2 linked regions of the Caenorhabditis elegans genome follow. The protein of the gene in region 1 purifies or fractionates together with the protein of each later gene. This does not show direct contact. Each region holds a gene or a part of one and is shown on either strand. Other genes may lie near its edges.

Region 1 (7,964 bases):
CAAGATTAGAATCAAGATGTTGATAAAAAGAAGTGATCCCATTAAATCTATTGATAACATCTTTATGAGTACACCTTGCCTTTAAAGGTGGACTAACGGTTCAGACGATTTTGAACGTATGATGATCTCTAAATGTGCTTATATGAACTAATTTCGTAATTAGACTTCTCAAAATTGTATTCAACTTTTTTTTATGGCGGTTCAAAATTTCTGAAAAATGGGACTGACTTTAGTTAAAAGCTCGAAATTAGCCTATTTTTCTTTGCCGTAGTGGTCCGAAGTTTTTTTTTCAGAAAAAATTTGAGCAGTTTCAATATGAAATTCGTTCGTTTGATCACATTTTGGGTCTAAACATTTAAAATCGTTAGTCCTCCTCTGAAGATGAGGTAGCGCCAGTGGGAAAATGTTACAAACTATTCGTATGGTGCCGAAACGACCGAATATCATAATAAAACTTTCCAAATTGTTTTTTGAAATTTTTTATTTACTGTCAAATAGTGACAATTACTCAGCTTTTGCCACTAATAATTTTGGAAGTCGACCAAAAACTTTTTTTTCTCTACATTTTTTTATATTGTAATTTTGTTTTAATTATTTTAATTAAAATATTGTAGAGGTTGAAACATGCGACATTGTTTTGGATTTTCTCAATAGCTTGTATTCATCAAAATTTCGGCAATTTGTCAAAACATTATTATGGAAAATCTAAAATTTGTTTGGTTGTTGTATTATGATATTTCGTCTTTTTCAATCATTATGAATGTGTTTAAACTATATTTCCACCGGCGATGCTCTAAGTTTTTAAATGAGGATGCATCAAGAAAGAATCATAAAACGTTAACTTCCACATTTTTTGGCAACCACTGTTAGTGTTATATTTGTTTGCAAATATCGATTTTTCATTTTATTTAAACATTATTTTTGAATTGAATAGGTTGTATAGAATTGTATTAATGTATTGAATATTAAATTGTATATATTCTGAGTTTTTAGTAAAAATTTTCTGTTTTGAGAAGGCGTAACACATGATGATGTTCAACAAAATTGTAATTCCAATGAAAGCAAAAAATTTTCAAAATTTATAAAAAAATTAACTAAACAGCTTTTCTGCCTACCTTCGTTTGTGGGATCTCTGTGGATTATCTTTTTTTGCCTGGTTTATCAATTTGCATGTGAAAAATCAATTTGTGTCACTGCAAACGAAGTTACAATGATTTTAGGTACGATCTGTCTACACCAACATTTGCCAAGACAAGTAATAAACCAGAAGCCTATGTTGTTGCTAATTAGTAATATGCAACACTTTAATTGTTTCCGATGAAGCTTGATATTAGATTTTGCGATTATTAGCCACCGAACACCAACACAAAAAAATCAAGAGTAAGGAAACTTGGTTAACTTTTCAGAAAAGTAGAAATCTCTTGCAGGCTTTGCAGAAGTTTCCCAATGTCACTAAAATATTTTAGAGCATTCCGTAAATTTCAAGCAAACCTCCTGGCATATGCATCTTGTGGGGTTGCCTGTTTTGATAAGATTGACTTTATGTCTAATTGTACTTCAGATTTTGAATATTTACTACATCCCAAAGTTTTCTTTGAAATCCAAATGTTACATAATTCAGTGAAAACACACGAAACGGGATAATAACTCGACCATTCTTCATCTTTCTCTCCATTTCTTTTTAAAACTAAAAAGCATTAAAAACACAATAATATGCGTTGAGTCTTCAGTGTGTCCCGCCAGAAAAATGTTGGCGGTAGACAAGAAGAAGCCATAGGCATTGAGGGGGGAGAAGATGAAGATGAAACCAGTCCGAAAAAGAGATGACCATGGCATTAACTTGACCGTCGTCAGTGCTTGCCGAAGCTTTCGTTCTTTTTCTCTCCGACCATATCTCGTTCCTCTTCTCCTCCACCCCCTTCCCTCGTTGGCTAGAAAGAAGCTCGTCAGCAGCAGGCCCCCTCTCTCTCGCTGTCTCTCCGAAAAGCATTCAGAAGCAGCGGCAGCAGCTTCGTGTTGCCCGTGTTGATCGTCTTAAACACAGTCATTCGGTTGCGCCTTGCCTCGTCCCCAATTCATTTTCTTTCACTTCGCTCTTGAATTGACAGCGCATTTTGACATGCGTTGGGAGAAATTCGCCTCCTTCATTTTTTTACTTATCTCCGGTACCGATGCACAATTCGGGGAAATTGCATCGTTAGCGACATCCCTGCTCGGGGGGGCTCTTGGTGAGTTGTGACTTGAAATTGCATTACGTGGAGTATTCAAAAACCTAAAATTTTGTACACTCTAATAATTGTCATTTTTTTTAACTTGCTGAACCTTGTCGTTTGGAATCGTACACCAGAGTCTATAAAGTTTTGGAGTAGGGTCTATAGTTTATTTTTCATTTAACTAAATTCAGCTTCTGGTATATTTTTTTTATTTGCAAGACAGTGATATTCTGTTTGTGATTTTATTTCTTGAAAAATAGGTTAAAATTGAGCCTCTACTTTTGGAAGACCATTTTTTGTCATTTTCAATAGTATTTTTATTTTTATTTTACAGTTTTCAAATGTGTGCTTTATATTTGAAAATCTGAACGCTTTAGCTTTTGAAATTGCAAACTCTTTGAATATATACTCTAGACGTGGGTACAGAGATCTTTTATCCCTGTCAACGTTACTAATGCTATATATATCCCTGTTAAATAATATGATAAACTCTTATGGGGTTACTCAAGTAGTGTCGGCAAATGAAAAAGTGTAAAAAAATGACGTTACAACTGTTCAAAAATATGCATTTTAACAAAGTCACGTGGTGTCAGGAAATCCCATTACGGTTTGACCTACAAGGAATTTTTCGCCTAGAAAAATTTGACGTCAGCATGTTGTTAACCTCGTGAAATCTGTTGAGAACCCTACTTAGGTTTGACCAATGTATACACTTTTCCCGCATCCTTCTTTTTGTCACGTTCCTCCCAGTTGCGAATTGGCGACGCAATCCTCATTTTTTATCAAATGCCGTTCGATTGCGCCGAATATCATTTCCTTCTAAACTAATGGGAAATAGTGGTGGCAGAGATGGTTGGCAGAGATATAGAAACACTTGAAGATCACGCAAGAACTGGATTTCGGAATACATTAGGAAACAAGAGATATCTTTTACGCAATATTCGGAAGGAATGGAAAACACCTTTATCGGTTTTTTTGTTCTGAATGTCCTGTTTGTGATAGAATTCAACAAAAAAGTATATTTTGATCGAAATTTAAGATATGTAACAAATTTTCAATTATAGAAAACACTTTTACATATAATTTTCCAGGAAATGGTGCTGGATTGGGAGCCTTGGCTGGAGCGGGAGCTGCGGGAGCAGGGGCAGCCGGTCAAGCCGGAGGTGCGATAGCTCAGATTGGACAGTGTAAGTTGGTATTGACAAAAAAAATTGGATTTAAAATTCTTATAGTGTATCAGCTTGCTCAAGGAGCCCTGCAACTGACTGGAACTGGAGTTGGAGTACTAAACCAGGCCTCGGAAGGAAATTGGTTCCCAGCAGTTTTAGAACAGACAGCTAAAAATTCTCGTTAGTATTTTAGCGTTTCTGATCTATTGAAACAACAGACAATTTTTGCAGAAGCACTTATGAAGCAAGGAGGAGGTGGTGGTTTGAACCTTGGTGCTCTTGGTCCAGCACCTGGAAAAACTTCTGGCGGACTTGGGCCAGAGTTTGGGACTAGCTTCCCCGCGCCGAACATAGACGATTACGATGAGAACGCTGAGATTCCGGGAGTTACAGAGAAAAAAACGCCAAAGGCACCTGACGGTCTTGTGGATATTGAAGAAGAAGACTATGAAGTTGACACGACTACTCCAACTACCTCGACAACGACTACAGAATCAACAACAACTACTACAACACCTGACGAGGTATTTTTTTAATTTTTATGTGGAGAAAATTAGAATGTGACTAATTTCAGTACGAAGAAGAGGCAACTACTGAGCCAACAAGTCCACCACCGCGTCAAATCAGAATTCAGCTGCCAGACAAAAATGGGAAAACTCAGCCTGAAGAAGAATTGGATTATGAGGATTTGGTCAGTTTGTGAAAAATATTCTCAAACCTTGATAATCGAAAAAAAAAATTCAACTAATTTTCCACGGAATTAAAAAACAATTCCAAACTGAGTTTTCGTCGAGTCGAAAAATCTTTTAAAGGTGGAGTAGCGCCAATGGGGAATTTGTCAAAAACTACTCCTATGGTCTCAAAATGACCAAATATCATGTTAAAACGTTTCAACAAATTATTTGAAATTCTTTATTGACTCTCAAAAAGTGGCAATTACTCAGTTTTTGCCACTCATAATTTTGGAAGTCGACCAAAAAAAATTGTTTTTTCTACATTTTTTATGTTTTAATTATGTTTAAATTATTTGTATTAAAACATTGTAGGGGTCAAAACATGCGACATTTCTTTAAATTTCCTCAAAAGCTCATGCTTTTCAAAATTTTGGCAATTTTCCAAAACTTTAACCGGAAATTATGAAAAATATAAAAATGTTTGGAGTGTTTTATCATGATATTCAGATGTTGGTTTCCAAATTATTTGAACTCGGATATTGATAAATTGAAGATTTTTCTGTTGTTGTTTATCTATTGAGCTACTGTAGAATTTTTTTTGAGTTGTAAAACAGCAACCCTTCCGCCCATGAGAGTGTGCTCTACTATTCAAAGTGTGAGGGTATCAAAATTGTTTGTAGAACATTTTTCATATCCATCATTATTTAAAAATTGAGCCGTTTTCAAGATAAACCCAATCAAAAAATGCGACTACTGTAGAAATTAGTGTCTGTTCGTAAAGTTTGTATCCCCGTAAAAATGAAAAGTTTCGCTTGCCACATAGTAAAACTTTTTCTGATATATAAAATATCCTAATAGTCAAACATTTTGTTTCACTGGAATAGTGAGGCTGGTTGTTAGAATTTCAACTTAGTTAATGAATTTCTAAAACTGTTTCAATAACCATTCCTCAATTAAGCTGTCAGTTTTTTCACGAATTCCAAATATTTTCTCTCCAGATAAACAAGAAAACTGAAATTGGCCAACAAGTGATTCCAACTATCGACGCTGAAAGCACAGATGAACTTAAAAGAAATGTGATAGCTACTCATGGAACGAAGACGCAACCTATTGTGCCGAAGCTTGACAAGCTGGTTGAAGTGCTCAAAAAGAGCAAGCTTTCAAAGGAAGAAATTGATGAAATTGTAGCTCAAGTAAGTTTTGAAATTTCTTTTTTTCTTTTTGTTTCTTCCTGGTGCCTTTGTTTTCTTGGTTATTCTTTTCAACAAGCTTTTATGTTTTGTAGGTGGAAGGGAATAAGAACATTGAGAAACCGGCAAAGTATGACTTCAATGCAGCGGTGCAAAACATTCCCGACAAGAGAAACAATATTCGTCAGAAAATTACTGATGCTTCGCGAATCATCAGCACAAATTTCGAGAATCAGCGTAAAGAGCAGAGTATAGTGGTGCAGCAGCAAGTCGACGAGCTCAAAGTTTTGCCAGATCTTACTGATTCCAGTATTGTGAGTGCGAACGTGCATGGAATGATATTGAATTTTAACGGAAAACCTCGTCAGATCTAGACTAGTACATATAGTATTACCTATATATATTGGAATTAGTTTTTCAAAACCAGATAGCTTTCTAGTGAGGAAAATGTTACAAACTACTCACATGATACCGAAATGACTGAATATCATACTAAAACTTTTCTAAAAAATTTTGCAACTCATTTATTTTTTGTCAAAAAGTGATCAGTTTTTGCCACTCATAATTTGGAAGTCGACCAGAAAAAGAATTTTTCCTACATTTTTTATACCTTAATTTTGTTTTCATTATTTGTATTAAAACATTGCAGGGGTCGGAACATGCGACACTGCTTTGGATTTTCCCAAAAACTCATTTTATTCTACATTTTGGTAATCTGCCGAAACTTTGACAGGAAATTATAAAAAAATCTCAAAAATTGTGGAGTTTTTTATTATGATATTTAATCGTCTTGGATCATTACGAGTGTTTTAGAAAAAAATCCTACTGGCGCTACTCTACCTTTACCACTAAATTTGTTGAATCAAATGCGAAACCCAAATTTTAATTTTCTAAAAAATATCGGTGTTTTTTAACTGATTCCAACAAGCACATTAATCGTCAAACTTTTATGATTTTAAAGATGTATAGGTGTTTAGTTTACTGGAGGTTAGTTAAGAATCTTTTGGAAAATATTTCAACTTTAAAACACAATGCAAAATTTGACCAGTTGTGACGTATTACCTGTACAATTTTACATATACATTTCAAAACATTGATAATGCTATTAAATTCAACTAACAAAACTTACAGTTGAAAAAAAATCATCAACCTCCACTGACACATCTTAGCATATTCGTATGTCATCATCTTAGCCTATCAAGTCAGTTAAAACCTACTCTCCTATACATACTTTCCAAGTTGCATGAGTCTAATTAAGGCACCAATAATTCTTACAACAACAACAACCCAAGCACCCAAAACATCATCTGCTACAACAACTGCACCAAAAGTAACCACTACAACACGTGCAACCCATTCTCCAACCACGACTCAAAAACTTGTTACCCAATCAGCAAAGCATATTCAGCAAGCAAGATCAGTGTCGGTTGTTGCTCCGACTGCTCCGACTCATCCACAAGTTGCTCCACAAGTTGCTCCACAAGTTGCTCTACAAACTGCTCAACAAGTCGCGCCGCAAGTTCAACAACCACAACAACCGTATAACAACTTCTGGAACCATCAAAATCACTTCCAGCAGCCGTTCCACCAACAGCAGCAACAGTTTTACTATACCCAGGTTTCTAGGTTTTCAAAAAAAAAAATACATATTCAAATTGCAGGCTCCATTCTACGGACAACAAACCCAAAACTACTGGGGACAACAAAATAATCAATATAATCAACAGGTTAGTACTGGTTTCGCCTTTGAAATTTTATAGACCCCTGTCAGACTAATAATTTCCAGTACGGCCTCCCACCTTATCATCAACCTCAACAAACTCAACAGCCCCAAGGTTATCAACAGCAACAATATGGTTATTCGACACCATTCCCAGTTCAACAACCACAACCTCAACAACCTCAACAACAACAGTTTTATAATGTGAGTAATTTCTAACAATATTTTCTTGTAAGAGTCCCGTAGAAAAAACAAATTTTAAGAAACTACAAGAAACTAATTTCCCATTGACGCACTGATCCTTAAAGTTTATCACCATGATCATAAAAAGAGAAGCCACCATTTTTCGAAAGTGTGAACTTTTCTTGAAATTTTAGTGATAATCCAACGAAAAAATATATAATTTTTTCGAGATACTTTTTTACTAAAACATCAAATTTATCTTCAGCAACAACAGTATAATGCCCAAACACCTCAGCAGGTGCAGCAAGTTCATCAACAGACTCCACAGCAACAAGTACAGCAGCCTCATCAACCTAACCAACAACCACACATCCCCTCTCAACAACTTCCCCGCCAGCAAGCTCCACAACCGGCCCAAAACCGACCTAGCGCCGCTCAACAAGTTGTGTTCCAGCAAGGAAGTGTCCAAGCCACAACTGCTCCTCAGAGGCCTGCCAACGGAAATACCAATCAAGTTGTTCATTACTATCAAGACGGCAAACAAGTTGTGCAACAGATTATTCCAAGAAGAATCGCTGCAAATGGGAATCTTCCACTCAATGGACCATTCAACTCACAGTCTGTCGGTCCGACCGATCCAGCAGAGTATCAGAGAAGACAACGAGCTTTGCACCAAGCTTACTCTCAGCCACAAACAAGGGGAACTGTTGCAACTAGATCAGTGGCAACTGGAGCACAGAGGTATCTTTTTTTAATAATAATAATAGATCATGTGACCTGACGCTTCAGATACTGGAGACCTAGACTCTCGGGGT
Region 2 (5,325 bases), on another chromosome or scaffold:
AATCCGTTTCTCGAATTCCTTATCCGAGGTTTTTAATTTCACAAGTTCTGATAGGGTCATCACTAATCTTTCTTCATCTTTATTCGTTTCATAGAAATTGACAAGTAGCTGAGCCATTTTGATAGTCTCCTGAAAGAACGAATTTTTGTTAACGCTACAAAATATATCATCTAATAGCAAAACTCTCACCTCTAGACCTCGCTGTCTATCTGAAACTGCATCAAATTCTGCACGAAAGAGTAAACGTTGATTGTGTTGTACTCGATGTCCTCTCCAAAACTTTTGAACTTTTCTCGCAGCCTTTTCTTGCTTCTCATCCTTTTCCCGTTTATGTTCCATTTCGCGGAGTCTGTTAAGAAAGTTGTCCCGCTCGTTTAGGCTTTTGATCATTGCTTCCTGTTTTTTGTCCCTCCGAACATCACCGTTAAAAAATACCAGGTTGAATGACATCTAAAATTGGAAACTAATTAGTGGAAATCTGAAATATTCAATTGCAAAACAAAAATAAATACTGAGTGTTTACATTTAACACTTATTCATTTCGAGATCAAAGCCGAATAAAAAAACCTGATTTATAATTTCAAAAATGAATAAGAAAAATAAATATGCCAAAAAGTGATTGATATGGGAAGAAAAGTGGTTGAAAACTTTCAGTCATAACAAGACCCGGAAAATTCCAACAATTCGAGTTACTAAAAACAAAAGAACACGGGGAAATTGAAATTATTCTTAAATATAAGCTAGAAAACAATTTGGAATATTCCCTATATCAAATTTTAGTGTTTGAAAAACATTTCTAAATATTAAATAACAAAAATGTGGATATAATGATTTCTATTCGTCCTCCGATTCTTCCTCATCATCATCTTCTTGTAACCAATCAACAATCTTTTTCATAAGCCCCTTCAATTTAGATTCTTCTGCAATAGACCCTGCCCATTCAATAATCGAATCTTCATCCAATATATCTGCTTCTTGATACAAATAGTGAACCAATGCCTGAGCTTTTACTCCAAAACTCTCATCTCTATCAAATTTGTCTTCAATGGCAAGAAGAAGTTGAATTTGGCATCTCCGTTTTAAATCCAACTCAAATCGTTTTTGATCTGCAGATTTTACTTTGAGCGATTCCGCCGATGTTTTATAGTAGTTCAGGAAAAGAGGTTGCCATTTAACAATAAGTTCTTTCATCTTATTAAAATCTTGATTATGTTTCAATTTCATGAATGCAGCGAATACATTTCTAGCAACCTCGTCCATTGTTACATTGCAAGCTAACTTTGAAGAGTTGATTTCCAAAATGAGATTCCGCATCAACGAATTTTCAGATTCCAAAATTTTCTGCATTGATTCTAAAACTTCATCATGGAACATTTTAGTTGAGTTTCCTACTCCATCGTCTTCTTCTTCAGATTCAGAATATTCGGATTCAGAATCATCTTCTTCCAATGCAAAATTAGTTTTTCCGTTAACCGATCGTCTCCAGAATGGTCCACCATTTCGGAATTTCGATACATGAACATTCCCAATTGGCTGAGAACTTAATTTCTCAAAAGTTTCCTCATTGATTGCATTTTTGAAAATCGCAGTATTTTGGATATTTGGAAGCTCTTTTGGATACATTACTCCATTTCCTATAATCGATTCTTTCGGAATGTGTGCGCCATTTGGAATAACAACATCATCTCCGATAAACGCGTACTCTATCACACAGTTTTCTCCGATTTTACAATTTTTTCCAATCATTGATGAAGTGATTCGAGTTTTCGAGGAAATTTCAGTGTGGGCACCAATGCACGAGTTGCGAATGAAAGCGTCATAGGCGATGTCCGTTTTGACGCCGAGGCATACGGTAGAGCAATTATTATTCAGTCTGAAAATAGTTCAAGTAAGTTATGTTGTTTGTAAACTTGTAAATTGAATTTTAAAAAAGGTTTTCTGACACAAGTTTTAAACTTTTAAGTTTTTAAAATTCCAATTTGTTGTTAGGTCCGAAATTATTTCTTACTGTCCTGGTGATCAGTTTTACTCACATCCAGGTATTGGCTTTTATACTGATCTCATCTCCATTCTCTTCTAAATATAAATTCCGAGGGTTTGCAGAGAAATATCGAGACGGATCCTGAAACTTATTGAAAATTAAAAATGATGAGGAATATATAAGCTTACTGAATTTTCGGGAACGAGTGGATAGAACCATCTTTCGAGCATCAGAATATTTAGAAGAATTAATGATTCGTAGTCACTGAAAATATAAATGATTAAAATAGTTTTTAGAAAAGTTGGTTTTCAATGCTTCGTAAATACGAAAACATGCATTTTACGTTTAGTTTTCAAAACATTCTTATCAAATTTCGATAAAATTGCTTACTATGCACAAAATGCTCTTTCCTTCGGTGACAAAACCTCGACATGAACGCTCATTCCAAGAATATCGTCTTTTGATAGAATTTCTCGAACAACATCATCAATTCCGACAAAATCAAAATTATCACTGAATTGAGTAGCAATCAGTCGACTACAAAAAGCGATTCCGGTTGGTGTTAGATCTCGGCGAATATCAACCTCGTCATAGAAATCTTTTTTCGATGCTTTCAATTGATTTAGCGAGTTCGCAGCCGGGAAGAGCATCAGTTTACTTGTTTCTGAATTAATTCCAAGAACCAAATGTTCTGGATTTTCGCGATTACTGTAGAGAAGAGTCATCACATTATCCGGGTTTTCTCTTCTTCGCTTACGGAATTCCGAGATTTGTGCACTCAATGTACTGCTAACAACCGCAGTTGGATTCGAGATGAGCATGAAATCGCCTGCAATTATTTGTTAAAAATACATTTTAATCTAAAAGTCTACCTGTGATCAGTTCTCTATTGTGTATCTCTCGCATACAATCGCCCACACTACTCGCTCCATCACAAACGACAACTGTGAATTCATCGAAGGCTAATCTCCACTCTCTGAAAAATTCAGAAATATATTTATATTCTATTGTTTTAAACACATTCACATTTAAATAAGAGTATTTTATTACCTTTGTACGCTTGTTGCATGATCTGCATTCAATCCACTGACAACTAGCATTACATTTTTTACTTCCGTTCGCATAAGCCAGGAGAGGGCAAAATTGATTGCAGGAACATTACAAATGGGGATGGTTCCCTGAAAAAATATTTATTTAACTTAAGATTTTGAATAAGCAGTGTTTTTTAAGAAAGCTATTTAGTTATTTTTTAGATTTTTATTATTTGTTAGCAATTCAGAAACCTTTCAGAACTTACAAAGCACGGATACGACTCGTGAGTCGGCGCAAATCTTTGATCAAAAGCATCTAAAATAACAATAGCAACCAAAGGATGCTCTTCTTTTTTCGGAGTTTTCTTGAATGCTGAGACAGGAGGCGTCATAACGAATATCCTGTAAATTGAAAAAAGTAAATTACAGGTAAATTTGATAAAAATAAGTACGAAAAATTAACGAAAATCGATAATTTCAGAGAAAGACATGTATTTCAAAATTTGCACATGGAAAATAGTGACGTCACAAAGAGAAAGTGCGGTAGGGCGTCATTGCATCTGCAAAATTTTAACACTTTTTTTTAAAGAAAAAACTGCTGAACTATCTTTTAAAAAAGATTTGCAAATTAAATTTAATATTAAACAGTGTTAAAATTAATTAACAATAATCACTTTAATGCATGTCGCTAAAAATTGGTCCGTACAGTATTGCGTAAGTGTTTTTTCTTCCTTTGAATCTGTATTTCAAGTATAAAACTGTATTTTCAGGTTGGTTTCCGATTTCTTCTGTCCAAATGCTGGTGGAGTTGAAACTCATATCTACTTTCTTGCACAATGCCTCATCGAACTAGGGCATCGAGTAGTAGTCATAACACATGGCTATGGAAATAGAAAAGGAATCAGATACTTGTCGAATGGTCTAAAAGTGAGTATTTTTTATTCAGAATTTTTCAATGATTTCTCTAGATTTCAGGTCTATTATCTTCCATTTATTGTCGCTTATAATGGAGCTACATTGGGATCAATTGTTGGAAGTATGCCGTGGCTACGGAAAGTTCTTTTGAGAGAAAATGTGCAGATAATTCATGGGCATTCGGTAATTAATCAAATAAAGACGTATTTTCAGTGATAATTTTGATTTTGTCGGAATTGATGATGTTGTTCGAGATTAAATAAAGACGTATTTAAAAAAACGTATTTTAAAAATTCCAGACATTTTCCTCGCTTGCACATGAAACACTGATGATTGGTGGCTTAATGGGGCTTCGAACAGTTTTCACTGATCACTCACTATTTGGATTTGCCGATGCTTCAGCTATTCTCACCAACAAATTGGTCCTACAATATTCTCTCATAAACGTAGATCAGACAATATGTGTGTCTTATACGAGTAAAGAAAATACAGTTTTACGCGGAAAGTTGGATCCAAACAAAGTGTCTACAATACCAAATGCCATTGAGACATCACTGTTCACACCGGATCGTAATCAGTTTTTCAACAATCCGACAACGATAGTGTTTCTAGGACGATTGGTATACCGGAAAGGAGCTGATCTTCTCTGTGAAATTGTGCCAAAGGTAAAATTACTTCTTTATTGTTAAGTTTTCCACAAATTATATGTTCTATAGGTCTGCGCTCGTCACAAGTCGGTTCGCTTCATAATTGGCGGAGATGGTCCAAAACGTATCGAACTAGAAGAAATGCTCGAAAGATTCAAACTACACGAAAGAGTCGTTATTCTCGGAATGCTCCCCCATAATCAAGTGAAACGAGTCTTAAATCAAGGACAAATTTTCATAAATACATCGCTTACTGAAGCGTTTTGTATGAGCATTGTTGAAGCCGCGAGTTGTGGTTTACATGTAGTCTCTACTCGAGTTGGAGGTGTTCCTGAAGTTCTTCCAATTGGAGAATTCATATCGTTAGAAGAACCAGTTCCAGATGGTGAGTATTAAGAAATAATATGTTTATCAAAAATGCAACAATTATTAATCCAATTTTAGATCTCGTTGATGCTCTTCTAAAAGCGGTTGATCGTCGAGAAAAAGGTCTATTGATGGATCCTACTGAAAAACATGAAGCTGTTTCAAAAATGTACAACTGGCCGGATGTAGCTGCAAGAACTCAAGTTATCTATCAAAAAGCCGTCGAGTCGGAGCCTACAGGAAGATTAGGAAGATTAAAAGGGTGAGCATTTTAAAATAATCGAATTTAATTTTAATAGCCTTTCTTTTAGGTATTACGATCAAGGAATCGGGTTTGGAATCATGTATATCGTTGTTTCGTGTATCATAATTTTCTGGTTAACAG

The links. The genes of interacting proteins can lie anywhere in the genome.
Region 2: the proteins of abu-12 (region 1) and eif-2Bepsilon fractionate together in Caenorhabditis elegans (co-fractionation; one large-scale study listed by BioGRID). This does not show direct contact.

Annotation. Positions count from the first base shown.
Region 1 is NC_003284.9:451,573-459,536, reverse strand, and holds the start of abu-12 (Activated in Blocked Unfolded protein response), read left to right. Parts: upstream 1-1,926; 5' UTR 1,927-2,119; coding exon 2,120-2,228; intron 2,229-3,304; coding exon 3,305-3,400; intron 3,401-3,445; coding exon 3,446-3,562; intron 3,563-3,613; coding exon 3,614-3,906; intron 3,907-3,956; coding exon 3,957-4,073; intron 4,074-5,054; coding exon 5,055-5,249; intron 5,250-5,341; coding exon 5,342-5,560; intron 5,561-6,504; coding exon 6,505-6,864; intron 6,865-6,907; coding exon 6,908-6,973; intron 6,974-7,032; coding exon 7,033-7,170; intron 7,171-7,414; coding exon 7,415-7,890; intron 7,891-7,964.
Region 2 is NC_003280.10:8,659,958-8,665,282, reverse strand, and holds eif-2Bepsilon (Translation initiation factor eIF2B subunit epsilon), read right to left. Parts: upstream 3,415-5,325; 5' UTR 3,405-3,414; coding exon 3,279-3,404; intron 3,160-3,278; coding exon 3,032-3,159; intron 2,958-3,031; coding exon 2,854-2,957; intron 2,811-2,853; coding exon 2,372-2,810; intron 2,246-2,371; coding exon 2,170-2,245; intron 2,123-2,169; coding exon 2,034-2,122; intron 1,874-2,033; coding exon 835-1,873; 3' UTR 508-834; downstream 1-507. Other genes in the region: E3 ubiquitin-protein ligase etc-1, read right to left, coding at 1-129, 190-390; piga-1 (PIGA GPI anchor biosynthesis domain-containing protein), read left to right, coding at 3,695-3,726, 3,783-3,939, 3,988-4,110, 4,227-4,592, 4,644-4,959, 5,019-5,202, 5,252-5,325.